2 linked regions of the Callithrix jacchus genome follow. The main gene of each other region encodes a partner of the protein of the gene in region 2 in a complex. Links are inferred from orthologs where the notes say so. Each region holds a gene or a part of one and is shown on either strand. Other genes may lie near its edges.

Evidence for each region.
Region 1: the proteins of LEPR (region 2) and LEP are in contact, whole or in part, in a crystal structure (PDB 7Z3R), measured with the Mus musculus proteins. The link is inferred for Callithrix jacchus from reciprocal best matches to the Homo sapiens genes LEPR and LEP. Residues at the interface, in NP_666258.2 of Mus musculus: Tyr439, Leu440, Thr441, Arg466, Ser468, Leu469, Tyr470, Gln499, Pro500, Ile501, Phe502, Leu503, Leu504, Ser505, Val560, Phe561, Glu563, Asn564; in NP_032519.1 of Mus musculus: Lys26, Val27, Asp30, Thr33, Leu34, Lys36, Thr37, Thr40, Arg41, Gln92, Gln96, Asn99, Asp100, Glu102, Asn103, Asp106, Leu107, Leu110.

The regions. Positions count from the first base shown.
Region 1 is NC_133512.1:118,735,588-118,752,481, forward strand, and holds the start of LEP (leptin), read right to left. Parts: upstream 7,439-16,894; 5' UTR 7,173-7,438; intron 1-7,172. UniProt on the Homo sapiens protein: Key player in the regulation of energy balance and body weight control. Once released into the circulation, has central and peripheral effects by binding LEPR, found in many tissues, which results in the activation of several major signaling pathways.
Region 2 is NC_133508.1:102,800,112-102,816,445, reverse strand, and holds part of LEPR (leptin receptor), read right to left. Parts: intron 8,234-16,334; coding exon 7,904-8,233; intron 7,130-7,903; exon of another isoform or gene 7,026-7,129; intron 6,398-7,025; coding exon 6,274-6,397; intron 5,770-6,273; exon of another isoform or gene 5,616-5,769; intron 2,424-5,615; exon of another isoform or gene 1,572-2,423; intron 1-1,571. UniProt on the Homo sapiens protein: Receptor for hormone LEP/leptin. On ligand binding, mediates LEP central and peripheral effects through the activation of different signaling pathways such as JAK2/STAT3 and MAPK cascade/FOS.

The sequences.
Region 1 (16,894 bases), on a different chromosome or scaffold from region 2:
AGTGCAATGGCGTGATCTCGGCTTACTGCTACCTCTGCCTCCTGGGCTTAAGTGATTCTCCTGCCTTAGCCTTCCGAGTAGCTGGGATTACAGGCACCCACCACCACGCCCAGCTAATTTTCGTATTTTTAGTAGACACGAGATTTCACCAGGTTGGCCAGGCTGGTCTCCAACTCCCGACCTCAGATGATTCACTCACCTTGGCCTCCCAAAGTGGGGATTATAGGCCTGAGCCACCATGCCCAGCCATTTTTTTTAAGGGGTCTCTCTCTGTCACCCAAGCTGGAGTGCAGTGGCAAGACCACAGCTCACTGCATCTTCAACCTCCTAGGCTCAGTCACTCCTCCCACCTCAGCCTCCCAAATAGCTAGGACCATAGGTGTATGTCACCATACCTAGCTAATTTTTTTTTGGAGGGGGTAGAAATGGGGGGATCTCCCTATGTTGCCCTGGTGGTCTTGAACTCCTGGGCTCAAGCAATCCTCTCGCCTTGGCCTCTTAAAGTGCTGGGATTATAGGCACAAACCTCCGTGCCTGGACAAAGGCTGTAAATATGTGCAGAGTTCCTATGAAACTCTCTGAGATTCAGGGAAGATTTAATTAAGTACAATTTGATTCAAGAGAGCCAGCCTCCTGAAACAGGATTTTATGAGAGATGGAAAAGAACCACAGTCCTGACACTTGTCAAAGACTGGGAGGACAGGCTGGCCCTGGCATCTTCTTTCCCACATCTCCAAAAGCAGCACCTTTTTATTGGTAAGAACTGAATTCTTATTGGTAACATAGTTAATTATTGATGGTAAATGGCCACTTTCTGACAAGGAGAACTACTGAGAGAGACACCCCAGGCCATGCTGGTGGAGGAGGCCAGCTGCGGTCAACCCTGCATGGGGGGCTGCACTACTCCAATGTTGGAAATGAGAAAATGGAGGCTCAGAGAGGTGAATCAACCTGCTTTCAGTCGCCCAGCAGAGCCCAGACTCTAGGTCTAGTCAGTCTGACTGAGAAGTCAGGGTTCTTTCCCTGTCCCAGTGAGTCTCACTCTGGCTACCCATTAGAGGCTCCTGGTGCCCAGGTCTCAGCCCAGCCCAATTAAACTAGAGTCGCTGGGCTTTGTGACAGGCATTCAATTTTTTTTTTTTAAGACAGTGTCTTATTCTGTCACCCAAGCTGAAGTACAGTGGCTTGATCACCGCTCACTGCAGCCTCAACTGCCTGGTCTCAGGTGATCCTCCCACCTCAGCCTCCCATGCCACCACCCTCAGCTAATTTTTTGTATTTTTTGTAGAGATGGGGTTTTACTGTGTTGCTCAGGCTAGTCTTGAACTCCTGCGTTCAAGGGAGCTACCCACCTCAGCTTCCCAAAGTGCTGGGATTACAGGCATGAGCCACCACGCCTGGCCAGCAGTCATATTTTTAAAAAGCTCTCTTGGTGCTGTAATGAGCACCTAGGGTTGGGAGGCCTTTACCTCTAGGCTCTGAACTCACAAGAGAGCGCTGACTGACAGATGTGATAGAGACTCCCATCCTGGGAGCTGTTAAGGCAGATGCTGCCCTGTGCGCCATGGCACCTCAATTAAGACAGAAGCGCTGGGGCTGGGATCTGCACATTCATATTTATACTTTTGAGCTCCTCTGGTGTTTCTGAAATGCAGCCAGTGTTGAGAATTAGAGTTCAAAGGCTGAAACCAAATTGCCTCTTCAGGCCTTCCCCTTAAGCCGCCATCTAGCCCCCAGCCTGACTAGGACAGAGCCTGGGGTCCCATTTAAGCTGTGGGGAGTGAGAATGGAGGAGAAAAATAATCAATGTTCGACAATCCAGTATGCAAAGATGTCATCAAATGCTCAAAAAGAACTCCTGATCTCGAGTCAACTGAGTGGCTCCCAGCAAGTTTGCTGGTAAATTTACATGACATCATCTTCCTTCACAGAAAAAGCAAAATACACTTCAGTCTTTGCTTAGGAAAGTGATTTTTGAAAATGTCATGAATGGGGTCCAGATGAATGAGGTTCACTTCAGGAACAAAGGGGACTCGGCAGACAGGTAGAGAATGGAATCTCACTGTGCAACCATTACGCACAGCCTCTGTATTCGAAGCAGGTGAGAACTGCTGAAAGGCAAAACAGAAGTGTACCAGTCCATGCATAAAAGAGAACAGGTGAACCCAGGGCAAGGGAGCCCGGGAAGGAAGACCAGAGAGGGGCTGGGGGCTGGGGAAGCGGGGGAACTGTCTAGGATGGATGGAGCCTGTTTCTTGCCGATGATGCCGATGATGCCGAGGCTCCGCTATCCCAGCAGCATCTGACCTTGGCAGGGCCTGCATGTCCCTCCTCTCTCCTCCCTCCCCTGTTGGTGGTGCCGCCTCAGCCTCCCTCCTCCTGAAGGGCCTGGGTATCCTCTCTTTGGGAGAGCAGGAGAATTGCTGGGGAACTATAATTAAAAACAAAATCTCCTCACAACCCGGAAAACCTCTCCATAAAGGAAGAAGCAAAAGAAAACAGCTTTATTATTGCACGAGCACAAGCATTCAACCAGAATGTGACGCACACGCCGGGCAGTCTGCAGAGAGATTGCCAAGAAAGAAAGGAGGCCTGCCTTTTGGCCAGCCAAGCAGCTCCAAGCTGTCACATACGTGTTCCCACATTAAACGATGACTAGTTTTCAGGGAATGAGTTCTATTTGTCACACATAGTTCATCCTAAAGTCACCTGGTTATTGGGGTGGCCATCTGTGTTTGCTAATTCCCTTTACCCAAAGGAAAAATAATAAATTTATTTCTTTATGACAAGAGGTAGTTTTGCAAGTTGAAGCTGCAGTTAGGCTCCTACCCTTCTCCAGAGACTAGAAGATGGACAGCTATGTTCCTTAATGATTACCTTTCAAGATGGTTCCCAGGTCCTTGGAGAAAGACATACTTGGGTCCTAAAGTTGGCAAGAGGCTTATTTAGCTTTTAAAACGATTTACATACATTTAAGAGACAGAGAAGGAACTGCTATTTATGGTTTCCAAAATAAGTGCTCTAGGAAAAGGAAGTGAGATGGGCTGCAAGAGTCTCTTCTGTTTATTTTAAACAGGGAAAATTAAGTCCCTATTTTGGTGGCCGGGTATGGTGGCTCATACCTGTAATCCCAGCACTCTGGGACGCTGAGGAGGGTGGATTATTTGAGGTCAGGAGTTCAAGACCAGCTTGGCCAATATGGTGAAACTCCATCTCTACTACAATTACAAAAATTAGCCGGGGGTGGTGGTGCATGCCTGTAGTCTCAGCTACTCTGGAGCCTGAGGCAAGAGAATCACTTGAACTCAGGAGGCAGAGGTTGCAGTGAGCCAAGAACACGCCACTGCACTGCAGCCTGGGTGGCAGAGAGAGACTCCATCTCAAGAAATAATAATAATAAATTTTTTTAAACCTCTACTTTCTTTGTTTTAGAGACAGGGTCTTTCTCTGTGGCCCAGGCTAAAGCGCAGTGGTGCGATCTCAACTCACTGCAGCCTCAACCTGCTGGGCTTAAATGATCCCTACTTCAGCCTCCCAAGTAGCTGGGACCACAGTCACAGGCCACCATGCTCAGCTAATTTTTAAATTTTTTGTAGAGATGGAATCTCACCATGTTGCCCAGGCTGGTCTCAAACTCCTGAGCCCAAGATATCCTCCTGCCTTGGCCATCCAAAGCACTGGGATTACAGGCGTGAGCTACCATACCCGGCTGTGAACCTCTTATTTTTCTCTTTCTTTTTTTTTTTTTTGAGACGGAGTTTCGCTCTTGTTACCCAGGCTGGAGTGCAATGGCGCGATCTTGGCTCACCGCAACCTCCGGCCCCTGGGTTCAGGCAATTCTCCTGCCTCAGCCTCCTGAGTAGCCGGGATTACAGGCACGCGCCACCATGCCCAGCTAATTTTTTGTAATTTTTAGTAGAGACGGGGTTTCACCATGTTGACCAGGATGGTCTCGATCTGTTGACCTCGTGATCCACCTGCCTCGGCCTCCCAAAGTGCTGGGATTACAGGCTTGAGCCACCACGCCCGGCCGAACCTCTTATTTTTAATGTGAAATTATCCTTACCAAATTTAGCTTTGACTTTCATGGGGAAGGGATTGAATGTTTGGCCCCAGCAGTGGGCGTCAGCCCATGACATGAGAAAATCCAAGGGGGAGCCTTAAACTGGATTTGATCTTGCAACCTCAGGAGAGAACAAGAGTGGTACAAGGGTGGAGCAAGTGCCTTTAGGACCCTCCAGGGCTTGGGTAGTTTCTGAATTTGACTGGGATGTTAGTAATGGAGGTGGTCCTTCCAGCCCCACCTTCCTGCTCTTCCGGGCACCCTGTATCCCCCGCATCCCATGCCCAACACTCAGTGTCATCTTTGAGCTCTCTGTAGGGGAGGAAGGCTGTTGGGGATGCTGGTCTGGTATGGCTCCTTCCTTCCCTCCCCTCGGCAGCACAGCTCATGGCTTCTGCTCTACTCCAAGTAGACTTTAACCCACTGGAAACTGCGGCCAGTTCTGCAGCAAGTTCAAATCTTTAGGGACTTCATAAATTAGCCTTTACTGCTAAGTTCTCTGGGAGAAAAAGAATTGGGGAGTGGGGGCAGGGGGAGGGGTTGCAAAGCTCAGCACAATCACAGCTTCCTCTTCCCAAACTCTGAGTGAGTGTCCGTGTTGCAACCAGTCAGAGCAGCACCATCAGGAAGGGGTCATAGGGGTGGCAGGGTTGATGCAGAGCATGCTGACTGTCCAAGGGGCACTGGGTAACCCTGGGCAGATCAGGGGTGCAGGTGGGAGGGTCAGTGCTGAGGTATAGGTGCTATGACAGCATTTGCTTTGTGTTGGCACATTCTAAGCAGCACCTCGAATTTTCCTGTTTGTAAGCCTGCGGGGTGTGCGCCCTTTTATGCTTATATTAGGGAATTCAGAGCAGGCTCCTGCATTTCTGCTCATGTGTGTATCTCTGAGGATGTTCTGCTGTTGTCAGTTGTCGTCAAGCCTTCAACTCATTGGATGGAGCCCACCCACATGGTGGAGGGTAATCTGCTTTACTCAAAGCCTGCTGCTTTAAATGTTGATCTCATCCAAAACATACCCACAGAAACACCAGGATAGTGTTTGGCTGACTATCTGGCACTGTGGCCCAGCCAGTTTGACCATTACAGCAAGGGATGCAGGGAAGGGGAGGCAAATAGTCCCAAACACTATTTCAGCTGTCCCAGCTCCCTTAATAATGAAACAGGACTCAACTGGAGCAATGGATGGATGGAGGATAGAGATGGATGGGCAGATAAGTGGATGGGAAGATAGATGAATGAGAGGATGGATGGATGGGAGGATGGATGGATGGGAAGATAGATAAAAGAATGGATGATGAGTGGATAGATGGAAGGATGGATGATGAGAGGATGGATGGAAGGATGGATGATGAGAGGATGGATGGAAGGATGGATGATGAGAGGATGGATGGAAGGATGATTGATGGGAGGATAGATGGAAGGATGGATGATGTGAGGATGGATGTATGAACATAGACAGATGGGTGGATGGAGAGGTGTCTAAATAGATAATAGACAGGGACAGACAGACACTAGTAGAGACAACTTTTCAGACACTATTTGATGGAAATTTTCAAAAACACAAAATTGGAGAATGACAGCACAAAGGCCAACTGACCCAATTCTACATTTCCACATGAGAAAAATGACACCCAGAAAAGAGTGACTTCCCCAAGGTCACACATGGGTTAATGGCAGAGGTTCTGTTGCCTCCTAGCCTGGTTACTGAGGTTACATAGGAATGAGGTCTGTACACTCCAGGTCAGGTGAGGCCAAACTGCAGGAGCAAGCTACCTTTGGAATTTCAGAGGCCTTGCACCCCGGGCTTCTTGCATGCTTACACAATGCACCAACTCAGCTTGCAGGAGGATCTCTATTCCACATCCTTCCCTGACACCTCAGCATGTGGTCCCTCAGGCGGGAGAAGAGTTGGCATGTTGGGTGCCAGCTCCTACACTCATCAGCCCAGAAGCAGCGTCAATCACTTTTCTATCAGCCACATGGCCCCTAACTAATGGAAGTGGGTCAGAAAAGTGGGTGGGTACATGGATATTTGATGAGAAATAAAAGTTTCCGCAAAACAGAAGTTTTTTCATCTCTTTGTGGGACTCCGTGTTTCCTTTTCTACATTTTTGAACCAAACAAGTTACCCCAGGATATCTCCAAAACCCAAGAATCTCCTGTGAGCTCCTGGAACCTCCAAGGAGCCTGATTTAACTTTGCACGGAATGCCTCCACCTTTCACTACTGTAGAATTTGATGGGTTTTGTGTATGTGGAGGCTGAACCGTTTACTGACGTTTTTACCTAAAGCACAGCAGCATCGCCCCACTTGGTCTCTCTCTCACTGTTACTCATTCACCTTCAGGACACTGGCTGTCAGTTTTCAGGCTTTTAAAACTTGTTCCTTCTAGAATGTGGTTTGTTAATAAGTATTGATCAAGCATTATGACGGTAACAAGAACCTTATAGGTTCGCATTGCTAGAACCCCACAAATTGTTTATTTCCTTTGAGTCTCCTTGCCTGTACTTGAAACAAACTGCCACCTGGAGTCAGGTGGGTTTGAATTGCTTGGCTCCTCAACGGCATTAGTAATTAAAGCATTCTTTCCTAATGGCATTGGTGTTCTCTTTTTGTCTTGTTTTGAGATGGGGTCTTACTCTGTCACCTTGGCTCTAGTGCAGTGGTGTGATCAAGGCTCACGGTAGTCTCAGCGTCCTGGGCTCAAGCAGTCTTCCTGCCTCAGCCTCACAAGTAGCTGAGACCACAAGCATGTCCCACCATGCCTGGCTAATTTTTATATTTTTATAGAGATGTGGTTCCGCCAAGTTGGCCAGGCTGGCCTCAAACTCCTGAGCTCAAGCAATCCACCTGCCTCAGCCTCCCAAAGTGCCAGGATTACAGGCATGAGCTATCACATCTGGCTAGTGTTCTTTAAATAGAGCTTTTTGTTAAAATAACCAAAAACAAAGAATAACAACTATTAATTCAAAATAGGATATATAGTTAGAGTTAGACCTAAAGAAATACAAACACCTAGGCATAAACCAGTATCCTTATTACTTGTGCTGCCATTGTCTGCTTTAATCCTTAGGCTTATGTAGAATTAATAGATTCTGAGTCTTACTTTTCTTAGGTGTCGATCGAATCCGGTCAGATTTGTCAAGAGTCCTTTGTAGCCCCAGCTGGAGTGCAATGGTACAATCTCAGCTCACTGCAACCTCTGCCTCCCAGGTTCAAGTGATTTTCGTGCCTCAGCCTCTGAACAGCTGGGATTACAGGTGTGAGCCACCACACTCAGCACAATCTTCAACTTCTGATAAAGAATTCCCTCCTGATCTTTTATAGCTTCCCACAGGAAGGCTTTAGTTTCTTCTGGGCATCTTTATCTCTGCCCTGCAGACAGAGAGTAAACAGGGAGTAAATACAGCAACATGTGACAGTAATGTGATGTTTCTAGAATGTTAGAAACTCGTGACTGCCTTTTTCTGAATCGCCGGAGGAATTTCCTTACCTGAATTCCTTTGTGAGCTTCCTTTCTCTGCTGAGTGCATTCTTACAACTCTCCACGGAAAGGTCCCTTAGCCACAGGTCCCTGATAAGGGTAGATTGTAAGCTGACCCTTTATTTTGCCTGATTCTGAAAACGCTGCTCTTTTGTAGGTACAAATCAGACCATTCCAGAACATGACGATTTCTGCCTTTTTTTTTTGACAGCATCTTGCTCTGTCACCCTGGCTGGTGCAGTGACACAATCTCGGCTCATTGCAACCTCTACCCACTGAGTTCAAGTGATTCTCATGCCTCAGCCTCCTGAGTAGCTGGGATTACAGGTGCACGCTACCATGCCTGACTAATTTTTTTTTTTTTGTATTTTTAGTAGAAACAGAGTTTCACCATGTTGGCCACGCTGGTCTAGAACTCCTGACCCCAGGTGATCTCCTTGCCTCGGCCTCTCAAAGTGCTGGGATTACAGGCATGAGCCACCATACATGGCCCAGCACATGACTTTTAAAGTACTTTTAATCAGAAGTTGACATAGAGACACAAAGTGATTTCTCCAGAGCCCCCATGTACTTAGCAGGATCCCAGGGGGCAGGAAAATAGAAAAGTGCTAAAGGAGCTTTCAGTCATTGCAGGGGAGATTCCTGGAGAGCTGGGTCCATAGCTCCATGGCCCAAATATCGCAGAGCTGACTCCATGAGGCGAACTCCCAGCAGCATGGGGTTCATCATTCCTGGGCTCGGACCACCTGTGAGCCACACTCTGTTTCCTGAGGTTTAAGCACATGCTGCAAGTCTGAAGCTTCCTGCCAGGAGTCAGGCCTTGTGTCCATTCCCACTTTCTCACCAGGTCACCAAATGCTCTTGCTCATGGCGCAGGAAGAGAGATGGGGCTTGGTAGAGCCACAGAGCTGAGTCCTCCATCAGCCCATGTGGCAAGGAGGATCGGAGAGTCAGGAAGGGCCATGCTGCTGGGTTGTGCTGTGTTCTGGGGGGAGTCATTTTCAGGGGACTCAGGCTGTTGAATCCTGGGTATTTGGGAAGGGCTTGGAGAAGCCTTTGGCATGAATGGGGCTCTCCTCCTTAGAGAGGCTGAACCAAGTTGGTTAATAAAAGTATCCAGTGCTGTTCCCACCAACAGTGTCCAAATTATGCTTCGATTCTATGGCCACAGCTGCCCTGGGGGATGGCATGAAAACTGCTTTAGGAACTGCACCTGTAGAAATTGTTAACATGTATTGATCGCCTGCTGAAAACCAGGCTCTCTGTGACACCTTTACTTGATTATCTTATTTTTTAAGACACACAATATTCTCTGTGAAGAGCTTGTTCTGTGAGGGAACAACTAAAGGGAGAAAAATTCAACGGTGGGGGGGTCTTGGTGCCAGGAGGAACTGTCCTAGTGAGTGACCTGCTCCCCACAGTGCAGGTCACCGGGAGAGGAAAGACCCTGCCCTCTCAGGCACCCTCCGCATCCCCCCATGCCTCCTCCACCCCCCCAGTGCCAGGGCAAGCAGAGCTGTCTCTAACTCAGGCTGTGCCCAAGCCGGCTTAGCTTCAGGACAGTGCTCACTGAGCACTGTGCTACGTGCTTATCCTTCCACGATCTTGTTTTGTTGTCACTGTAATCCTATGAGGGAGGAGAATGTTTTTGCCCCCATTCTACAGATGAGGACCCTGAGGCATGAAGAGGACGAAGGCTTGCTCACGATTCTGTAGCTAAACGCTGGCAGAGCCAAGTTCTGCTCACGTTCAATCTGACTGTCATCCCCTAAGGTAAACTGCCAAGTTCTGACTGAGTCACAGTGGCTCTACCCCTTGGCTTCACAGTTGAGTGACTGGGCACATTGGGAATCTCAGGCAACGGTTAGGAGGGCCTGAAGAATTGTGGAGGAGGGTCGATTACCCTGTAAAACTGATCAATCAACAGACAAGAACAGCAATAGGCAATTTGGATTGCAGATGGCATTAGCCGGCTAGGACGGTCATAATAAAATACCATAGATGAGTGGCTTAAACAACAGAAATTTACATCCTCACAGTTCTGAGGCTGAGAGTCCAAGAGCGAGGTGCCCACAGACTTAGTTTCTGGCGAGGCCTCTCTCTTTGGCCTACAGACATAACCTTCTCCCTGTGTCCTCACGTGGCCTTTTCTTTATGCGCGCTCATCCCCAGTGTGTCTCTGTGTGTCCAAATTTCCTCTTTTATAAGGACATTGGTCAGACTGGGTTAGTTCCCCACCTCATTTAACCTTAATAAGCACCTTAAAGATCCTATCTCCAAACACAGTTTACACTGGAGATTAGGAATTCAATACATGAATTTTAGGGGACAGCCTTCAGCCCATAACAGATTATTCAACGCTCTTTGTCCCTCCTACAGCAGCCCCCACAGCAGCGGGCACAATCAGCTGCAATCTGGGTGTGAGCCCCTCTCTGCAAGGATTGGGGACCAGATGCTCCCTCCCTGGAAGCCACGTCAATGAGAGACCACTGTCGTACTGAGAATTCAATAAAGGCTTTTTACAGTACATGACTACAGCTCTTTTTACAGACTCCTACAGCGCTGTACAACCCAACATTTACTGGAATTTTCACTTCAGCAAGATCTTTTAAATTTAAAATCTCAGCACAGTCACTGAAGCCACAACTCCCTATCTAATCAAAGTTTCTATCGATGTTAAAACTTGATTGGTTTTTGTTTTTGTTTTTTTTTTTTTTAGTCCTCAAAGCTGTGTTCTTCCCATATACAAAACTGATTCCCCTGATCCCATCTCTAGAATAGTTTTTGCAATGAAAGACTGGTTTTGCAAGAAGACACACATGCCTTGTTAAACAAGCTCTTACAGAGGAGGCGGAGGAGGATGAGGAGGAGGAGGAGAAGGAGGAGGAGGAGGAGGAGGAGGAGGGGGGGGAGGGGAGAAGGAAGAGATGGAGGAGGGGAGAAGGAAGAGAAACCCCGATTTGTAGGGGCTTACCAATTTCCATGGCATAAATACTTGCACCATAATAAATTTCAAGCTACTAATGATTTTAAAAATTGGCTTAGAAATTTCCAGAATATGTTACACCTGGATTTCACAAGCTGCTGTTAGTCTGCTCCAGCACATCACTGCTTGTGTCTCTCATGATCACAGAAGCCCATTTTATAGGTTTTTAATCTGGGTCAGGGGTAAAATCTGTGGTCTTGATCAAAATGAGGTCAACTAGCCCCACCAGGACTCAGTCTCAGCATCTTACTTCCATTCTCACCATGCTTTAAACCCTGAGCACAGGTCACAAATCCATGTTCATCTAATACATGCTTCGGGTAAACCTCCCCATTTTAGAAGAACCACCCATTTGCTGGAAATTAGAGTCACCCGACTGGCCATAGGCATTTTCGTGGGATCTTGATCTTCATGGAAAGTCAAAAGTCAGTCAAGTGCAAATCAGGGTTGGATTGATGGCAGGTGTAACAGCTGCACAAGCATATGGTGCTTTGTCTGGAACTGAACATCTCTATTTTTCATTCACCAAAGGCTGTGGTGGCTTCAGGAAGTGCTTCCAGCCTGACCTCCTGCTGATGACATCCAAGTTCTCCTTGGATCCTGAGCTACTGTCTCTACTTCATGTGTGTGAAAATGTGCAGGGAACGTTCATCCCAGAGGCAGAATTGGGGTGTTCCAAGCAGGCAGGCCATCGAATGTTCAGAATTCCAAGTTCAGGGTCAGGATGTGGTATTTCAGAGGCAAACGATGGTCTGGGAGCAGACCTTGGAGAAAACTGGGCTTGGGGGTAACAACTCTACCAAATTAAATCTAAGTGGGAACTGCAGCAGGCGTCTGACCTGGAACTGGAGGTTTCCGGAGCAGCTGGCTCAGTGAGGGAAGGACACACAGAATCGGAATTCCCCCACCATCTTCTCTGACTGCTCCTGCTCCTCCATCAAGCAAGGCTTGCTGGGAAGCAGGAGGAGGCAAAGGCCCTTCATTCTCCTCCTGCCTCGAGGATATTCTCTTTCTCTCCCTTCCTCTGTAGTTCACTCTCCAGCTCATTCCCAGGTCCCGGGTGAGCCAGCTGAAGTGGTCATGATAATACTAATAAGCTGATTTGAAAGAAGAGTTTAGTTCATTGCGCCTTTGGGAAAGACCTCTGCTGGTGCTTGGCTAGGATAACAAGCTTCGGTGAAACTAACAGGGACACTAACTCACTCCACCGCTATATTCTTATTTTATATGCTGATGGTGTCAGTAGTCACTACCATAAGTAGAATCTGCTTTTCCTCTGGCAGTGGAAAGGCTAAATTGTACATGGTAACTTCAGGGCCTTGTCTCCCTTCTAGGGCTTCTCTGAGTTCAGGGGAAGGCATTTGAAACGTCCATAGTAACTAACCTTTCTCTTATTCCCATGCTCTCTCTTTACTCATACCATTATTTTGAGGAATACATGAAATTAAAATTGTTATAACTGAACATCTACTATATGCCAAATCCTGTGCTAGATATTTTAAATATATTTCCAAACCTAATAAAAACATCATGTCATTTTATAGATGAAGAAACAGACTCAGAGAAGCTAACAGATTTGCTCACAGCCAGTGACTGTTTAGATTTTAGCTCATGTATTTTAAACTCCATTTTAAAAATTGTTATTTTATTTTTTTTAAATAGGCCTGGCGCGGTGGCTCAAGCCTGTAATCCCAGCACTTTGGGAGGCCGAGGCGGGTGGATCACGAGGTCAAGAGATCGAGACCATCCTGGCCAACATGGTGAAACCCCGTCTCTACTAAAAATACAAAAAATTAGTTGGGTGTGGTGGCGTGCACCTGTAGTCCCATCTACTCAGGAGGCTGAGGCAGGAGAATTGCCTGAAACCAGGAGGTGGAGGTTGCGGTGAGCCGAGATCGCACCATTGCACTCCAGCCTGGGTAACGAGAGCGAAACTCCGTCTCAAAAAAAAAAAAAAAAGAAGTAAAATAGAATGGAGTCTCACTACATTGTTCACACTGGTCTCAAACTCCTAGGCTCAAACCATCCTCCCACCCTGGCCTCCTGAAGTGCTGGGATTACAGGCATGAGACACCATGCCTAGCATTGTAAACTCTAAAGCTCACATTTTTCTACTATGCTACCATATTATATAAAACATTGCATCAGTCAGCACAAAATTAGGTTGTGCTGCTGTTATAGGCACCTCAAAACCTTGGTGGCTTACGACAACAGTTTTCCTTCGTCCTCACATGTAATGCGTGATGCACACGCCTCACCTGGGAGCTCGGTTCCCTAGTATTCCCTAGTATTTCAGGGAGGCATACTCAGGCTGATGGCGGAGGAGCCATCAGACTGTTGCCAGTTCCCACGCTGGAGGAAAAGGGAGCTCTGGAGGGCCTAAAACTATCAGCAAAATGCCCTGGCATTGAGTTGGCACACATCACTTCTACCTACAACCCATTGGCCAGAATTTTACATGACTCTTCCAAACCACAAGAAAGAGGAAGTGTAGTCCCCCTGGACAGCTGAGAATAAAGTACATGGCAAGCAACACGAAAACCCGCCATGGGTGTCTGGCATTGGGCTTGGTCCCTACATGATTAATAGACGCTATTTCACGCTCCCTTTCCTTCCCCAGCTATGAACAGATTATGGTAAAATCATTCCTTTTGCACCAAGAGACAGGCATAATGAACAGGGCCCTTCGTTCTGTACTCTGTCGAATGCTCTTTCTGGCTTGCACCTGCGTCATAGTATGCTGGCCCAGATGGCTCCAGGGCCTGAGTCTCCTGTGCCTTGATGTCCGACCATGTCTCAGGGGTTTCCGTCAGTCATTCTCAAATGCCGTGGTGCAGATGATGGGCGACATTCACATGCATGATGTGTGACACCTCCCATGAGCATCCAACAGAGTCAGAGCTACGGGCTGTCTCTGTCTGGCAACTATAACTCCACCATTCCTTCCTTTCAGGGAGGCATATCAGAAATCAACTGAGTGGCAGGGGCATTATTATGGGACTATATTGAATCTGCTTTAATTGATTTTTTTAAAAGTCATCAACCATTTGAGAACCTCAACAGTTCATTACCTGTGGCCAACTGCCTCAGACACACGTCCTAAGTGCTCCAGGCAGGCAGCATGTCAGGACATCACTGCTGGAGAAGCACTGGTCAAGATGAACAGTGCAACCACTTGTGAAATGAAAAATGGTGCCAATGAACTGGTTGTTTTGTTTACAGCATGCCAAAGAAGAGCCTGGAAGAACATTTTGTTCATACTCCCTGAATGAGCTAGTGGCCTTGGCACTGCGTAAACACAGCCCTAGTATCGAGAATGTGAGCCTAGTATCAATCATCAAATCACAGATGTTAGACTGAAGGAATCTCTGGAGATATTTTTCATACATTCCCCTCATGTCACAGATGAGGAAACTAAGGAACAGGCAGGCTAAAAGATTTGCTTAAGGACACGCAGCACCACTGTCAACTGCTGTTTTAGAAAAGAGGTTAATGTGGGCACATCTTCACCCACTGCATTTTTCGCATTTTCTGTAGCTATTTCAGAATCAAGATGCCCCCTGAATGTCATTGTGTACTTCTTGTAAACGTAGACAAGAATTTGAGAAACACCCCATGGTGCAATGGTTCACTGCTTAAACTTGCTGCTGACTCATTTGCCCTCCACCACTTTTTTACCAACTTGGGTCATGGCATCCAGCACTTTCACTGGCTCTTTTCCCCAGCTGTCACATCTCCCAGGCTGGGCTGAGCAACAGGATGCAGTGACGTCACCTCCACGCGTCCTCATTGGCTGGTGAGCAGGGCTCAGAGGTGAGGTCCCTTGGTGAATCGCCCTGGGATTCAACCTCTTGTTGCAGCAAGCCACCTGTTGCCCAAAGGGCAGACTGTTTTGGCCAGAAGGACTCTGTGGAACAAGGACACCAAGATTCTCATGCTTTATCTTTTTCCTTTTGGGATATGGTCTCACTCTGTTGCCCAGGCCGAAGTGCAGTGGTGTGATCATGGCTCACTGTGGCCTCGTTCTCCTGGACTCAAGAGATCCTCCCACTTCAGCCTCCTGAGTAGCTGGGACTACAGGTGTGCACCACCATGCTCAGCTAAATTTTAATTTGTTTTGTTGAGACAGGGTCTCCCTATGTTGCCCAGGTTGGTCTTAAACTCCTGGCCACAAACAATCCTCCTGTCTCAGCCTCCCAAAGTTCTGGGATTACAGGTGAGAAACCTCATACCTAACCAAGTTTTATCTTTTTGATAAAGGACAAACGCCCCCCTCCAAACAAACAACTCCTGCAGGTCACACTTCAAGTGTTTGCTGGGGGAGAAATCCCATTCAAACATGGTCTTTCTATTGGAAAAAGAACAGTAAGTAGTGGCTCACTCGTGTAATCCCAGCACTTGGGGAGGCCAAGGCAGGAGGACTGCTTGAGCCCAGGAGTTTGAGACCAGCCTGGGTGACATAGCAAGACCCTGTCTCTACAAGAAAAATTAAAAATTAGCTGGGTGTGGTGGTGTGTGCCTGTGGTCCCTGCTACTGGGGAGGTTGAGGCAAGAGGATTGCCTGAGCCTCAGAGGTGGAGGCTGCAGTGAGCAGTGATTGCACCAATGCACTCCAGCCTGGGTGACAGAGTGAGACCCTATCTCAAAAAACAAAAACAAAACAAAACAAAAAAACCCAAAACCAAACAAACAAAAAACACAAAAATAGTCTTTGGGTCAGGGCCCTCCCTACTCTCACTTAATCGTAAATTGGACTTTTTCATTCACTTCAGGTTCCTGTCTGTTGAAAAGTCTCTGGTTTGAGCCAGGCAACTTTGTGGTGGTCCCTTTAATCCCTATCCCCCCATCCCCTTTTCTCAAGTCAACTTCAGAGGCCTTGGAGGCTCCTGCTTCAGGGCCTATGAGGGAAGGAATTCCAGACAAATTCTTCACGGTCCTGGGGCTGAGGGATCAGCTCGGTGGACAAGATCTATGCTCTCCATGGTCATTGCCCAGTCTAGGATTTTGGCAGCTCTCCCAAGCCCACAGGCCCAGATGTGGGAGCAGTCTTTGGCATGGACAGAGAGCTCTTAGGCCTGGGGCCAAGTCAGCCCTTTGCCCCATATGAACACATGGGGCTGCCCCTCTGTACAGAGCACCTCTTTCCATCGCCTCTGGGTTTACACAGCTCAGAGAAGTATCTGGAGTCTGGTGGGGTTGGGGAGCAGGGAAGATGGAGTCACAGGGTAATCTCCGGGGACAACTCTCCCTTGACCCACAACAAATAAGAAGGGGAAGAAAGGACCTACAGCTTGAGAGTGGATTCTGGGTCACACTGGTTACCTCTTTTTCCTGGATTTAATGCATCATTTAAAAGATACTGTGGGAAGCCTTGTCCTTCCAGTTCTTTCTTGTTGGCGTTGGTACAAAGCTATAAACACAGACACACACACACAGACACACACACACACACACACACACACACGCCCTACTCCATCCTGTAACACACATTCCAGTCATTTCTTCTGGGTCACTAGGTCAGACTCTGGAAAACCCTAGCTGTAGAAGAATTCATGGCTAAAGAATTTAAGACTTTGAGAGAAAGTAGAATTAGGGAAACAAAGATCAGGAAGGCGCTAGAGAAAACCCTGATAATTGGTTTTGCGTTCAGGAGAGAGCCCAATCCAAGAGCACACTGAATAAATAATTTCATTTTCTGTTATTTTTGTCTGCTGCTGGCACAAGTATGAACTGGCTCAGCCAAACTAGCAAGCAAATTGACAGTGTGTCTAATCACTGGAATGCATCCTCCCTGCGGCCCAGCAACACCATTTGTAGGGGTCTACTCTACAGAAGCGTATTCAAAGATGTCCACTGCAGAATCATTTGTGATGGTGAAAAACTAGAAACAAGTTAATGCCTGTCAGCAGGTGAGTGGATGGATTGTGGTATCTTTGTACAGTTTCATGTTATTTTGCAGTAAAAATGAACAGCTAGATCTTCTTGCATCAACATGGATTGATCTTGGAAACACAATGTTAGCAGAAAAAAGTAAGTTCCAGAATGGTAGGTTTAGTGTGACATCACTTACGTAAATTAAGAAGCACTCAAAGCATTGCTAGGTGTAATTATGAGTAATACATACATGGTAAAGTATGAGCACCAGTGTGAGAATACCTACCAACTTCAGGACAGCTGGAGGAAGGAAAGGGGCACAAAGACTTCAACTGTGTAAGTTTTTTTTTTCTTTCTTCTTTCTTTCTTTCTTTCTTCCTTTCTTTCTTTCTTTCTTTCTTTCTTTCTTTCTTTCTTTCTTTCTTTCTTTCTCTCTATCTTCCTTCCTTCCTTCCTTCCCTCCCTCCCTCCCTCCCTTCCCTTC
Region 2 (16,334 bases):
CCATGGGTCCCTTTCTATTATCAACTTTTTTCTCCCTGCTGGGTCACTTTCTATAGACTAGAAAAAAACTCATGATTTCCCATCCTTTAATTATCTACCCTGGGACATTCATTATACATTATACACGACTCCTTCACCTCCACTTTCCAACCCCAGCCAGGCTTCTCAGGCCCCTAGAGTGTAACTCAGTCACTTTTGTTATGAACATTTGTCTACTTTCTGGCTGGCCAGCATCTGACTGAACAATCTATCATCATATAAGGCTGAAACACTGGCAGCTAGAGCACCTTCTCGCCAACTAGATACCCCCATCTGAGACACTGCCCCTCGTGATAACTGCACAAAGACACAGAGGCTTTGGGGTTCATCAGACTCCTGGCATCAGGTATCCAGCAGGTGGAAATGATAACCACAGGGACACTCAATGTCCAGATAAGATGGCAGTGGCACTATATCTGGGTTCCTCCTATGGGTGACTTAAAGTCCAGGGGTCTAACATAAGTAATAAATATTAACTACAGTCTGGTAATCAATACGGAAAGGTGAGCAGTGGCAGCTATGCATATTTTCTCTCTTACAGTATGCTTCTGTGTGTTTCTATATATTAACTAATTTCTTCTCAATCTCTTCCTTCCCCCTATTGTTTTATATAAGGATTCTTGCTGTTATTAAATTTACAGTTTTATATTTAGCTTCCAGAGTAATCATTCAGGTGGAACTGTGACTAAGAAGAGCAATTAATACTGCCCAGAGATCAATACTGTACATGTTGCACAGAAAATATGTGACATAGCATCATCCCATTTGGGGGAGAGGATAAGACTGTCTCCTTTTGTTCAAAGTGTATCCCACCACTCCCCACCCTCTGGGAAGCTCCTGTGACTCAGACAGGGGCTGTGGCAGGAGGAAGATGCCACAGCCTGAGTCCTGAAAAGCTGCTGTCAGTGTTAAACAAATTGAAAATGGTCCATTAGTTTATGCTAGGTCTACAGTGGGAACTGTCATAGTTCAATATTTCTGTTACGGGTGTAATTTTACTTTTGTGACCTTGTCAGTTTTGCTTTTTGTTCATTTCAACTTCAGTGAAGTGACTCAGTCACTTAAGAATGTGGTCATCCATTATTCAAAATAGCAAAAACTTGGAACCAAACCAAACCAAATGTCCAGTCAATTTTCTTGACTGGATCAAGAAAATGTGGCACATATACACCATGGAATACCATGCAGCCATAAAAAAGGATGAGTTCATGTCCTTTGCAGGGACATGGATGAAGCTGGAAACCATCATTCTCAGCAAACTAACACAGGAACAGAAAACCAAACACCACGTGTTTTCACCCATAAGTGAGAGGTGAACAATAAGAACACATGGACACAGGGCGGGGAACAACACACACCAGAGCCTGCCTGGTGGTGAGGGGATAGGGGAAGGATAGCAGTATGAGAAATATCTAATGTAGATGATGGGTGCAGCAAACCAACATGGCACACGTATACCCGTGTTCTGCACATCTATCCTAGAACTTAAAGTATATATTTTTTAAAAGGATATTTAAAAAAAAAAAAAAAAGAATGCACTCATCAAGAGGTCTGGGCCCCATAGACCATTTCCAAAACAATTCTACTCTTGTTTCACTCAAGCTCCGAGTCTATTACTAGAGCCACAGTTCAAAGCAAACAAAATTGGCGATGTGTTAGTCATATTGAAGATGCAGGAAAAGGCCACTTGAAATTGTCTTCTGAACTGGGCATGATTTTTAATGAATGCGCTCAGGAGTTGAGAGACTTGAGCTATCAGAAATGTGCTTTTAATATGCTTATTGGTAACTGCAGGCTACCACAGAGATATGCCAGGCACAAGGAATGCAGCATGTAAAGTCCTACCATCTGACCACCAGTTGCTAACATTGGTTATCTGTGCCTACAATTAAGTTTTTTCTGCCTGTCTCCAGACACTGCACAGTGTCATAGATTGCATGCCAGAAAACCTGCTTCATGAAATCATCCTCATGTATGTTATTAGTGACCTTGATGATTTGAAAGGAGAACCAGATGAATATGTCCAAAAATATCCCCCTGGGAAAATTAAGGTAATAAGAGATACAAAGTGTCAGGGACTGATTCAAGGAAGAATGAGTGTAGCAGTCCACCAACAAACATCCTTGTGTTCCTAGACAGCCATGTGAAGTGAATGTGACGTGTCTGCAGCCCTTGCTGGCTGTCATCTGCATGGACTAGCAGACCATGATGGTCTCAGTGATTGACATCATTGGTGCTAACATGCTAGCCTACAGCTCGACCTCTGTTGTCCATGGAGGATTCAATTGAGGGCTCCACTTCAAATGGGAGCTTGTTCCCCTTTCTGAGCTAGGATGAGCAGAAAAAGCCACAGCACCAATAAAGTCACCAATAATCATGGAATGGTTTTTTTTGTTTTGTTTTGTTTTTGTTTTTGTTTTGAGACGGAGTTTCGCTCTTGTTACCCAGGCTGGAGTGCAATGGCGCAATCTCGGCTCACCGCAACCTCCGCCTCCTGGGTTCAAGCAATTCCCCCGCCTCAGCCTCCCGAGTAGCTGGGATTACAGGCACGCGCCACCATGCCCAGCTAATTTTTTATATTTTTAGTAGAGACGGGGTTTCACCATGTTGACCAGGATGGTCTCGATCTCTTGACCTCATGACCCACCCGCCTCGGCCTCCCAAAGTGCTGGGATTACAGGCTTGAGCCACCGCGCCCGGCCCGAATGGTTTTTATCTGATCAGGAACTTGTCACGATTTCTCTTCTTAGAAGCCTTCACAGGAGACAGTTGTTTTGTTTTGTTTTTTACTTATTTGTTTAAATGTACTAAACAGATACTTTTTAAAAACGGAATCTACATTATGTTTAACTTCAGAAGGTATCATTATAAGACATTTTAAAAAGTATAGTTGCACCTAATTAGGTGAAAGCATGAAGTTATAGGGAAGTTTTAGGGAAATGTAGACATGCATAGAAAGGTGTGTGTGAATGTTCTACGTAGCCAATGAGCCAATAAAATGAGTTTTGCTGGTGGTTAAGGTATTGTCTGCCATCTTCAAATGCACCCAATGCTCTGTTTTGCCATGCTGGGGCTGGAACTTGGCAAACCATAGTTTCTTGTTAAATTCTACCTGTTGGTGAGCTAGAAAGAGACTAGAATAATGGAGTAACAAAGGAGTTGATCCTTCCTGTTTTGCCTCCCATTCTCGAAATATCACTCCAGTCAGAGGTTCCTCACCTGGGCAGCAGCAGTTGGCCCCAGTAACCAGGTTTTTTCCTCCATATTCTCAGCACCAGCCACAGTATGCCTTAGATATATGAATTCTATCTCTGCAGGGTCCCTCCATCAACTGACTGAGGAACTAACACCAACCTCCTCAAAGGTCAGTTCTTCAGGGTCCTTCCTCCAAGTTTCCCTCTGTTCTGGCAACCTCTCTTTCCACTCCCTTGAATGACTCTGCCTAAAGACTCATTACTTTCACACTGCCAAATCCATACATATTATTCAGACCTTATTATACCTTCCTGATATATCTGGCCATTGACCACTCACTTCTCCCAGCTTCAAGCATTATTTCTTTATTAATAATGTTTTGGCTCACGAAGACATTTCTGGAGGGTAAATTAGAAATTTTTTAGAAAGCATTTTGGCAATATGTATACATTCAATAAAGAATTTTTAAGCTTTGTATAAATATTTCCATTGAGTTAATTTCTAGAGGTAGACAACTGTTAAACATAATAAGTGCTATGTGTGTACATTTAGTAAGCGGTACAGCCAGGTAGACTGACTCTAGAATCTGCCAAATTAAATTCTACACCAGGAATTTTCAAACTTGAGTTCCATTAGAATCACCTAAAGGACTTGGTAAAACATAGATTAATGAGCCCCACCCCCCAATTTTTTCACTCACAGAGGTGAGCTAGCAAATTTAAATTTCTAACAAGGTTCCAGGTGATACTGATTACCTTCCCCAACACTACAGTGCCCACATATTTTCTTATTCACTCTTATTCATCTCTAACGACTCACTTCAGCTATCTCCTTCCTTAGGAAACCTTGGCTCCTCTCTCCTCTCACTAGCTAAACTAGATAACCCCATCTAAGGCCTCACAACAATCATGTGCTCCCATGACATTATGTACCTACCAAATACATATCAGTAACTGCTAAAACTGACTCTGTACATATATGTTTCAACTGCTAGCCTTTGAGAACATCAAGGGCAGAGATTGTAACCATTTATCTTTTTTTACACGTCTTTTAAATTTCTTTTTAAAATTTTTATTGTGATAAAATGTACATAAAATCTAACATTTCAACCATTTTTAGTATACAGTGCAGCCACATGAAATACATTCACATTATTATACGACCATCACCATTCCCCAACTCTAGGACATTTTTCATTTTCCTAAGTTGAAACTTTATATCCATTAAACAGTTAACTCCCCAGTTCCCCCTCCTCTCAGCCCCATTCTACTTTCTGTCTCTATTCATTTGTATAGGGACAGTTTCTAGCACATTGCTCCTCAATGGTATTATCTCATTAACTGCAGAACTGAAGAGGGTGAGACTTTAAGTGTCAAACAGAAGATTTAATTAGAAAGAATTTTAAAGAGTTAAAATTGACATAGAAATGATGTATATCATCACTGGAGTAATTACAAACTTGAGTGACACATTAGCTGTTCAAGTTATAAGTATATGGCTGTTTAAAAAGAATATCTTCATTCTCTTTCTACCACAAATAAATATTAGGCACTCATATTTTTAAGTTTATAAAGAAATCAAATATGAAAAAATCGTCTGAAAAAGAAATATAAAACATATCCTTTATGCTTTTCCACTCAAATATCTAGAACTCCTGAACTGAGTTCACTCTTCTTTCAGACTATATGCACACCTATATCTGCAATATCTTTGTAAGGTACATGGATGTGCTTTGGTCAAGAATTAGGCCTGCATGACTCAGCAAGAAGAGTGCAGGCATATAACTCCACCTGTTATCTCAGCCAGATAGCCATAACATGGGAAGGCCATCCCTTGGCCATATGCTGTAGGAGATCGGTCAGAATGGTGGGAAAAATTATAGAAAGTTCCAATCCTTCTTGGAAAGCCAGAAGGTTTTGCAAAAGCCTTGGGAGAGAGTTATGGCTAAAGGTAGCCTATTCCTCTTACCTTGAGCTAATAGCAAAGAGCAGATAACAAGGGAATATAGAGGAGTTTATCTAAATAGCTTGTTTATTCATGTCATCCTAAGACCAACCTGTGCCCATCTGTGCACATGACAGCTCTCTACTTGGGGGGTCAGCAACATTAATTACCCACAAACGGTGCTTATGCAGAATCTTTGTCATTAAACCTATACTAATTAAATACAAGAGTTGCTGGCTTACTGGGGCCACAGCACTCCCCTAGGGATCAATAAACCATGAGTCCTCTAGCCATGCAACCAGGTAAAAAGCCTATGTTTGCTTATGTCTTTCATCCATCATTGGGCCAGAGTCTGCCAGCCAGACTCAAAAGTATGCCACTATTGTCTGTAAAAGGTATAATTACCCTGCTGACACTGTACATGTGCTCATGTACAGGTTCTCTTGTGCCCAGAGACAGAAAGAGAGTACCAGGACTGTCAGTCTTGCAGATAGACAAGAGGGGAACCAGGGCATAACTCAGCATGGCACATCATGGGAACAGCATGGTTCACGTTTGTGTCCAGAGAGGGAAAAAGAATTAAGTTGCTGACCCTGAAGGCACGGGAGAATCAGCTGTGCAGCTGCATGTGGGAGTGGCTGGCCCAAGCAGTCAAAACAGAGCAGACAGTGAGAAAAAGCTGATGTAAGAGAGCTGCTAATGAGAGACCTAGTCTGAGTAAGCTGCTGATGAGAGAGATGCTGAATAAAACTACACTTCACCTGCTTATGCCCCACCACCCCCCAAGTATTCTTTCAGCTATCACCCATGAACCCACTCCCTTCAGACCTCAGCAGGGCTGGGACCTGAACTTGAACCTAGCATTTGGTGTACTCATGGACCTGACAACTGTGGTCCTAAACCTGACAGTCTTGCTACCTGAATCAACAGGAAGAGAAAAGAGGAAACCCAATGGAACAGAATGCTATATTAAAAAATAAAACATATAAAAGGAAAAGTAGGGATGCAAGAGGTTTATAATCTACTTCTGCATATGGAAGCTCTTTTAAAAAAATTGTGTAGTAAAAATGTCCAAATTAATTATTTGGTACTTACAGAACATATAAAAGATGGACCTTATGGTTATAATTCTTAAATTGATTCTTAAATAATGACTCCACATTACAGATGAATAATTTCAAGTCTCCTTTTAGCCAGCACTGTATGTTCCAGTTTGCACCTGAATTTAAAAAAAAACTACATGAAATCTCAAAAACAGTCTGAAGAACTCAGTTGTTCAGTGAAAGACAAGAGCTAAATCAAATTTACCAGTGTTCTGATACCACTTCCACTGCCTATTGAGAGAAAAAGAACAGGCCTTAACTAGGAGCATGTGCTTGTCTATCAGAACCTTTGGCCCTCAGTTTCCTTTTTTCTAAAGTAATAGAATTAAATTCAATTATTGTTCCTCAAACTTTTCTTTAATTTCAAACCACTTAGGTCGGACAAAAAACCTCAAAACTCATCTAGCTCAGTTCTCACGTTTTCTTTTTTTTTTTTTTTGAGACCGGGGTCTCACTCTGTTGCTCAGGCTGGAGTGCAGTGGTATGATCATGGCTCACTGCAACGTCAATCTCTCAAGCGATCCTCCCACCTCAGTCTCCTAAGTAAATGGGATTACAGGCACACACCACCATGCCCAGCTAATTTTTTGGGGGGGCAGGGGGGTTATTTTTAGTAGAGATGGAGTTTAGTCTTGTTGTCCAGGCGGTCTCTAACTCCTGAGCTCAAGCGATCTGCCCACCTAGGCCTCCTAAAATGCTAGGATTACAAGCATGAGCCACTGCACCCAGCCATTTTTTTTTTCAAATCAGACAGGTAATGATCTAACATCATAACAAGGTCTGAGGGAGGCACATCTCACACATATATGTGAAAACCCAGTCATGATGGTTTTGAGGCAGGAAAAGATATTCCTGTGTTTTCATACCAGAAGTCTCTTTATGTGGATGAGTCCATTGACTCCACTCTTCCTAGGTTTTCCAAAAGACTTGGAATAATTTTGTTGTTTATATTTCCAGATGCAGAATTTTTAGTTACACTAGCTACATTCAGTATGCATTATACTTAAACAATAAAAAAGCATTTTTTTCTTTTCTTTCTTTCTTTGTTTTTCCAACTTTTATTCTCAGTTCAGGGTGCATGGGCCGGATGCGCAGGTCCGTTAAATAGGTAAATGTGGGCCATAGCATATAGCAGTTTGCTGCACAGACCATCACATTCCCTAGGTGTTAAGCACAGCATCCATCAGCTATTGTTTCTGAAAAACCCAATTTTAAAATGTATACTCTTTCAGAGAGATTCCTTGCCTGAAGAAATATTATTATTCATGAATATTTTAAAATTTAACTAATTCAACAATATTATCAGTTGATATTTTATCTATTTAACAAAAATAAGGTGTGTTTTGCTATTTCAAAGCAAATTTAGAAGACTACAAGAAATGTAGTACTTAAAAGTAAAATAGTTCCCTCATCAGATTTTTATGGGATACAAGATAATTGGGGAATTATTTATTAGTTTGGTCATATAATGAATCCCAATTTTATTATCAATATAAAAATACTAATGTATATTAAAAATCACAGCCATAAGACAGCTATTTCATACAGGTGTCAAAGAATTAAAACTCATTGTTCAATACATTTTAAAAAATAGCTAATGCTTGGAACATGAAAATACTTACCTATTGGTTGAAAACCTAAAGAATTTACTGTTGAAAAAAATGTCTTTCCTTCAATGTTGTCTGCACATAATGAGGAGTTTATATCTTGCTCACTCCGAAAGCAACAGTGGAAAGTTGTTTTGGATAAGTTAGAAAAGTGGGTTCCACTTGAATTAAACTTAACTTCAACAGCTTTCTCATAATGTCCATTCAAATCTGAAGTATTCTTTGAGAGTCCAGCAGGCAAACGGAAGTAGTCATAAGTTTTATTTGGTGGCATGCAAGACAACTTAAATCTCCAAGGAGTGATTGGATATGACAAGTTAGATGCAGTTATGACATAAATAAATTCTGTTAGGATATGAAAAAAACACATAGAAAACAAGTAATCATTTTGACTAGGACATGAATAGGAAGTACCTGAGATTAAACCAAGTAGTGCTCAATAATTATTTAACTTTCTAAGTCCTCAATTGGTGCCTAATCAATAACTCTGTGCTTCCATTGTACAATGTGTTATATTCAAGAGGATGCATTCATTTATAAAAATAACTCCCTTTTCTGGCATCTCTTTTCTTTTTGGAAATTCATACTTCATGTTTTCTCTTTAATCTGACATCTTAAATTTATGCTTTAATGAAAGGAAACAAAAGCTAAATATTTTATTTTTCTTTTCTAAAACATATTATTCTAGCTTCCAGTATAAATGATAAATATAATATCCAGTATAAATGATAAATATCTGGATGTGCAATTATACAGACAATCATTAAAGTACTATTTTAATATTTATTTAAGAAAGTAGCATCAAAATATTAGCACTGCTTTTGCTGAGCATTTTTTAGAAAGAATTTGTCTTCAACATGATGATAGCTTGACGATCTCCTGAATTTTTTCATGATTCACCAAATTCAAAACATCATATAAGACATGCCCTTAGCATATTACACAAGAAATGATGCACAACAATAAACTTCTTGTGGAAAATGCTTACTGCTGATTAAACTATCACTTTTTAAATGTAAAAATTAAGAACAGTTACATAATCCTGTACCAAAAAATCCACAAAAGTTAAACTTTTTTTGGTGGTGGGGGACAGTGTCTCGCTCTTGCCACCCAGGCTGGAGTGCAGTGGTGCAATCTTGGCTCACTGCAACCTCTGCCTCCCGGGTTCAAGCAATTCTCCTGCCTCAGCCTCCTGAGTAGCTGGGATTACAGGTGTCCACCACCACACCAGCTTTTTACTTTTAGTAAAGACGGGTTTCACTATTTTGGCCAGGCTGGTCTCAAACTTCTGACCTCAGGTGATCCACCTGCCTTGGCCTCCCAAAGTGCTGGGATTACAGGTGTGAGCCACCATTCCCGGCCAAACTTATTTTTAAATAATTCTTTTAAAATAAAATAATTCTCCATAAATTTTTTTCAATAAGTTACCCAAATGATGCAACAATTATGTTGGCTTATACAGACACTAATGCAGAATAGGAATTCTGATAATCTTATATGGATTTGTATGAAAAGAGAATTTTGAAGTTATGGTAAATGTAATAATGTAAGGAAATAGAAGTAACCCTGATGTTCATCAGTAGGTGAATGGGTAAAATGTGGTACATCCAGACAATTAAATATTATTCAGTGATAAAAAGAAATAAGATATCAAGTCACAAAAAGACATGGAGGTTCCAGCACTCTTCCAGAACTATGCATCCAACAAAGGACTAATATCCAAAATTTAGAAGGAACTCAAACAATTTAACAAGAAGAAAACAAATAACCCCATTTAAAAGAAGGCAAAGGAAATGAGCAGACATTTCTCAAAAGAAGATATACAAGCAGCCAATAAACATGAAAAGTGCCCAATATCACTATGAAAAACAATGTGTAGATTTCTGAAAGAAGTAAAAGTAGAACTATCATTCAATCCAGCAATCCCACTACTAAGTACCTACTCAAAGGAAAAGAAATCGTTATAACAAAAAGGCATATGTTTGTCACAGCACTATTCACAATAGCAAAGTCATGGAATCAACCTAAGTGTCCCTCAGGGAATGACTGTATTAAAAACAAGTGTGGAATATTCACACACATAAGCATGCAGATACACACAGACACACACACACACACACCCCATACCACACTATGGAATACTATGCAGCCATAAAAAAGAATGAAATCATATATTTTGCAACAATATGGATGGAGCTAGAGGCCATTATCCTAAGTGAAATAACTCAGAAACAGAAAATCAAATACCACATGTTCTCACTCATAGGAGCTAAGCAATGCATACACATGGACATACAGAGGGGAACAATAGACACTGGGGACTATTATGTGAGGGGTGAAAAATTATATATCATGCCCAGTGTTCACTATTCAGGTGATGCAGACACTACACAATACATCCACATAACAAAACCATACTTTTAACCCCTGAATCTATAAAAATAAAAATAAAAATTTAAAGAGAGAAAAGACATGAAGGAAACATAAATGTATATTACTAAGTGAAAGAAACCAATATGAAAAGGCTACATACTATATTGTTCCTTTATAGTGAAAGAAACCAATATGAAAAGGCACAACTATGGAAACAATAAAAAGATTATCCGTTCCCAGGAGTTAGGGAGAAGGGAAGGATGAATAGGCGGGCCATAAAGGATGGGAAGGGCAGTGAAATTCTTCTGTATGACTCTACAGTAGCAGATAAAAGACACTATATGTACATTTGCCATCATTCGCACAATATACAACAAAAGTGAACTGCAATGTAAATGATGGACTTCGAGTGATGCTGTGTCAATGTAGGTTTATCAATTGTGACAAGTGTACCACTCTGAGGGGGGACAGTTGGTAACAGAGGGGTATGCATGTATGGAGTAGGAAGTCTATGGAAAAATCTCTGTACCTTTCTCTCAATTTTGGTGTAAACCTAAAACTGCTCTAAAAAATAAAGGCTGTTTAAAAATGGAAGAAAATAAAAACATTTTAATCAATCCACAAATTTATTTTTTATTACAAAAGCAGTATCTGTGAAAATATTCAAATGATACATAAGTAATGACTATTAATAGTTTAGTTACTAAATATTTCTATAAATATAAATTAATATAAATATGTATAGATGCAAAAATTGAGGCCAAAGTGATTAATGTAACAAATATGACTATGGCCATACTGAAGACAATTAGGTATCACAACATTACCAAAAATAATTCCGTATTACAATTACGTTCCTTTGGACTTCACTCCTTCTAACATGTTTCTAAAATCAGAACACCTGAAGAAAACAGAATAGTTTTTTGAAGGGAAGACACTTACAATACCAAGAATATGTAATATTACTAATTTACAGCATTATGTAATCTAGGTCTACATGAAGGATTCAGTTGCTTGAAATAAATTAGCCTAAAATCGTTACAGAAGTATTTAAATGTAAAATGTAATAATGAACTTCAAAAACATAGCAACTATTGATGCAGACTCAAAGGAAAAGATGAGTCCACTTTATCCACCTTCATCCTTTTCAAATGATATTTCTTTCCCTCAAAATGAATCCTAAACCGTAAAGAGGGTCTAGAATTTTCACCCAAAGGCATATCTTATTAGGTAACAATGTCCCAGGATTTCTTCTGATTCACAAACTTGGTCAAACCAAAACCTTTCAGAAAGCCAATGTAAAACACTAGAGTCTAACAAAAATTAGATTGAGAATTATAAAAAAGAATGAATAGTTCCCTTAAATATATCTAATAAAAATAGAGAATATGAAAAAAGAATGAGTTATTTCTCTTTGATAGTCCCTTGTGGCATAATTTTTTGGAAATCTGTAACAGTGGAGCTGAGTTATTTTCTGGAAGTATACAGATGGCTGCAATGAGAAAGAAGTATGTACAACAAGGAAGACCTATAGGGCAGCTTAGAAGGGCTTCCTTAGATTGGAGTAGCCAAGGAGATGCTCGGAACCAGCTGACACACAGGTAACAGTTGCCAGATAAAATTGCCACAACATAAGTTTCGTTAAAGAAAGCTAGATAAACAGTTGCCAAATCACATGAGTTTTGTTAAAGATAACCTAACTTTGATTTCAAAAACTTGGATCGCAATCTAACTTAGATGATTTGGTTTAAGAAAATCAGAATGCTACCAGAATGTGGTAAGTAACATATGAGAATGGTATGCTCAAAACTTATTGGCAATGTATCAGCCAGGCGTGGTGGCTCACGCCTGTAGTCCCAGCTCTTTGGGAGGCCAAGGTGGGCGGATCACTTGAGGACGGGAGTTGGAGACCAGCCTGGCATACATGATGAAACCCTGTCTCTACCAAAACAAAACAAAATATTAGCCAGGACGGGTGGTATACACCTGTAGTCCCAGCTACTCGGGAGGCAGGAGAATCACTTGAGTCTGGGAGGCAGAGGTTACATTAAGCTGAGATTGCAGCACTGCACTCCAGCATGGATGACAGAGTGAGACTCCATCTCAGAAAAAAAGTTATCGGCAATGTATGACTAATTTTAAGCAGAAGACTGAAATAGTTCATAACAGTTAAAAACATAAGATACTGAAGGAACATCTGAAACTTTTGAGGATATTCCTGCAGTGAGAAGGAGGAAGGACTAGTATACATTTCATTTCTTTTTTTGTTTTGTTTTTTTCATTATACTTTAAGTTCTGGGGTACGTGTACAGATCATGCAGGTTTCTTACACAGGTATACACGTGCCATGGTGATGGTTTGTTGCATCTATTGCCCCATCATCTGCATTAGGTATTTCTCCTAACACTATCCCTCCCCAATCCCCCTCAATGCTGTTCCTCCCCTAGCCCGCCACCCTCCAACAGACTCCAGTGTGTGATGTTCCCCTCCCTGTGTCCATGTGTTCTCGTTGTTCAACACCCACTTATGAGTGAGAACATGTGGTGTCTGGTTTTCTGTTCTTGTGTCAGTTTGCTGAGAATGATGGTTTCCAGTTTCATCCATGTTACTGCAAATGACATGAACTCAGCCTTTTTTATGGCTGCATAGTATTCCAGAGTGTATATGTGCCACATTTTCTTCATCCAGTCTATCATTGATGAGCATTTGGGTTGATTCCAAGTCTTTGCTATTGTGAACAGTACCACAATAAACATACATGTGCATGTGTGTTTATAATAGAATGATTTATAATCCTTTGGATATATATCCAGTAATGGGATTGCTGGGTCAAATGGTATTTCTATTTCTAGATCCTTGAAGTATTGCCACACTGTCTTCCACAATGGCTGAATTAATTTACACTCCCACCAACAGTGTAAAAGTGTTCCTATTTCTCCACATCCTCTCCAGCATGTTTTCTCCCGATTTTTTAATGATCACCATTCTAACTGGTGTGAGGTGGTATCTCACCGTGGTTTTGATTTGCATTTCTCTAATGACCAGTGATGATGAGCTTTTTTTCATATGGTTGTTGGCTGCATAAATGTCTTCTTTTGAAAAGCATCTGTTCATATCCTTTGCCCACTTTTTGATGGGGTTGTTTTTTTCTTGTTAATTTGTTTTAGTTATTTGTAGATTCTGGATAGTAGCCCTTTGTCAGGTGGGTAGATTGCAAAAATTTTTTCCCATTCTTTTGGTTGCCAGTTCACTCTATTAATAGTTTCTTTTGCTGTGCAGAAAATCTTAAGTTTAATTAGATCCCATTTGTCTATTGTGGCTTTTGTTGCCATTGCTTTTGGTATTTTAGTAATGAAGTCCTTGCCCGTGCCTATTCCTGAATGGTACTGCCTAGTTTTCTTCTGGAGTTTTTATACTGTTAGGCCTCATGTTTAAATCTTTAATCCATCTAGTGTTAGTTTTTGTATGAGGTGTAAGGAAGGAATCCAGTTTCAGCTTTCTGCACATAGCTAGCCAGTTTTCCCAACACTATTTATTAAATAGGGAACCCTTTCCCTATTGCTTATTTTTGTCAAGTTTGTCAAATAAAAGATGATTGTAGTTGTGTCATATTCTTTCTGAAGCCTCTGTTCTGTTCCATTGGTCTATATCTGTTTTGGTACAAGTACCATGCTGTTTTGATTACTGTAGCCTTGTAATATAGTTTGAAGTCAGGTAGTGTGACGCCTCCAGCTTCACACTGGAGGATTTTTCCCCCCCTTAGGATTGTCTTGGCTTTGCAGGCTCTTTTTTGGTTCCATATGAAGTTTAAGGTGGTTTTTTTTTCCAATTCTGTGAAGAAAGGTGTTAGTAGCTTGATGAGGATAGCACTGAATGTATAAATTACTGTGGGCAGTATGGCCATTTTCACAATATTGATTCTTCCTAACCATGAGCATGGGATTTTTTTCCATCTGTTTGTGTTCTCTCATTTCCTTCAGCAGTGATTTGTAGTTCTTCTTGAAGAGGTGCTTCATATCCCTTGTTAGTTGCATTGCTAGGTATTTTATTGTCTTTGTAGCAATTGTGAATGGGAGTTAACTTATGATTTCACTCTCTGTCTGTTATTGGTGTATAGAAATACTTGTGATTTTTGCACGTTTATTTCATATCCTGAGACTTTTGCTGAAGCTGCTTATCAGCTTAAGGAGATTTTGGGCTGAGACAATGGGGCTTTCTAAATATACAATCATGTCATTTGCAAACAGGGACAATTTGATGTCCTCCCTTCCTGTTCAAATACCCTTTATTTCTTTCTCTTGCCTGATGGCCCTAGCCAGAACTTCCAATACTATGTTGAATAGGAGTGGTGAGAGAGGGCATCCTTGTCTTGTGTCAGTTTTCAAAGGGAATGCTTCCAGTTTTGTGCAGTCAGTATGATACGGCTGTGGGTTTTTCATAAATAGCTCTTATTATTTTGAGATATGATCCATCAATGCCTAGTTTATTGAGAGTTTTTAGCATAAAGGGCTGCTGAATTTTGTTGAAGGCCTTCTCTGCATCTATTGAGGTAATCGTGTGGTTTTTGTCTTTGGTTCTGTTTATGTGATGGATTACATTTATAGATTTGCAGATGTTGAACCACCTTTGCATCCCTGGGGTGAAGCCGACTTGATTGTGATGGATAAGCTTTTTGATGTGTAGTTGCATTAGGTTTGCCAGTATTTTATTGAAGACTTTTGCATCAATGTTCATCATGGATATTGGCCTGAGATTTTCTTTTTCAGTTGTGTATCTGCCAGGTTTTGGTATCAGGATGACATTGGTCTCACAGAATGAGTTATTGAGGATTCCCTCTTCTTGTATTGTTGGGAATAGTTTCAGAAGGAATGGTACCAGCTCCTCTTTGTACTTCTGGTAGAATTCGGCTGTGAACCTGTCTGGACCTGGACCTTTTTTTGTTAGTAGGCTATTAGTTGTTGCCTCAACTTCAGATCTATTGGTCTATTCAGGAATTCAACTTCTTTTTGGTTTAGTCTTGGGAGGATGTAAGTGTCCAGGAACTTACCCATTTCTTCTAGATTTACTGGTTTATCTGCATAGAGGTGTTTGTAGTAAACTCTGATGGTAGTTTGTATTTCCATAGGATGGGAGATGGTATCCCCTTTATCATTTTTTATTGAATCTATTTGAATCTTCTCTCTTTTCTTTTTTATTAGTCTGGCTAGTGGTCTATCTATTTTGTTGATCTTTTCAAAAAACCAGCTCCTGGATTTATTGATTTTTTTGGAGGATTTTTTGTGTCTCTATCTTTTTCAGTTCTGCTCTGATCTTAGTTATTTCTTGTCTTCTGCTAGCTTTTGAATTTGTTTGATCTTGCTCCTCTAGTTTCTGTAGTTCTTTTAATTGTGATGTTAGTGTGTCAATTTTAGATCTTTCCTCACTTCTCATGTGGGCATTTAGTGCTATAAGTTTCCCTCTAGACACTGCTTTAAATGTGTCCCAGAGATTCTGGTACTATGTGTCTTCGTTCTCATTGGTTTTGAAGAACATCTTTATTTCTGCCTTCATTTCATTATTTATCCAGTAGTCATTGAGAAGCAGGTTGTTCAGTTTCCTTGTAGTTGTGCAGTTTTGAGTGAATTTCTTAATCCTGAATTCTAATTTGATTGCACTGTGGTCTGAAATCATAACTGTTTGTTATGATTTCCATTCCTTTGCATTTGCTGAAGATTAGAATTAATTAATTACTTCTAATTATGTGGTCAATTTTAGAAAAAGTGCAATGTGATGCTGTGAAGAATGTATATTCTGGGTATTGGGGATGAAGAGTTCTGTAGCTGTCTATTAGGTCCACTTGGTCCAGATCTGAGTTCAAGTCCTGGATATCCACGTTAAATTTCTGTCTTGTTGATCTGTCTAGTATTGACAGTGGGGTGTTAAAGTCTCCCACTATTACTGTGTGGGAATCTAAGTCTCTTTGTAGGTCATTAAGAACTTGCTTTATGGTATCTGGGTGCTCCTGTATTGGGTGCATATATATTTGGGATACTTAGCTCTCTTGTTGCATTAATCCCTTTACCATTATGTAATG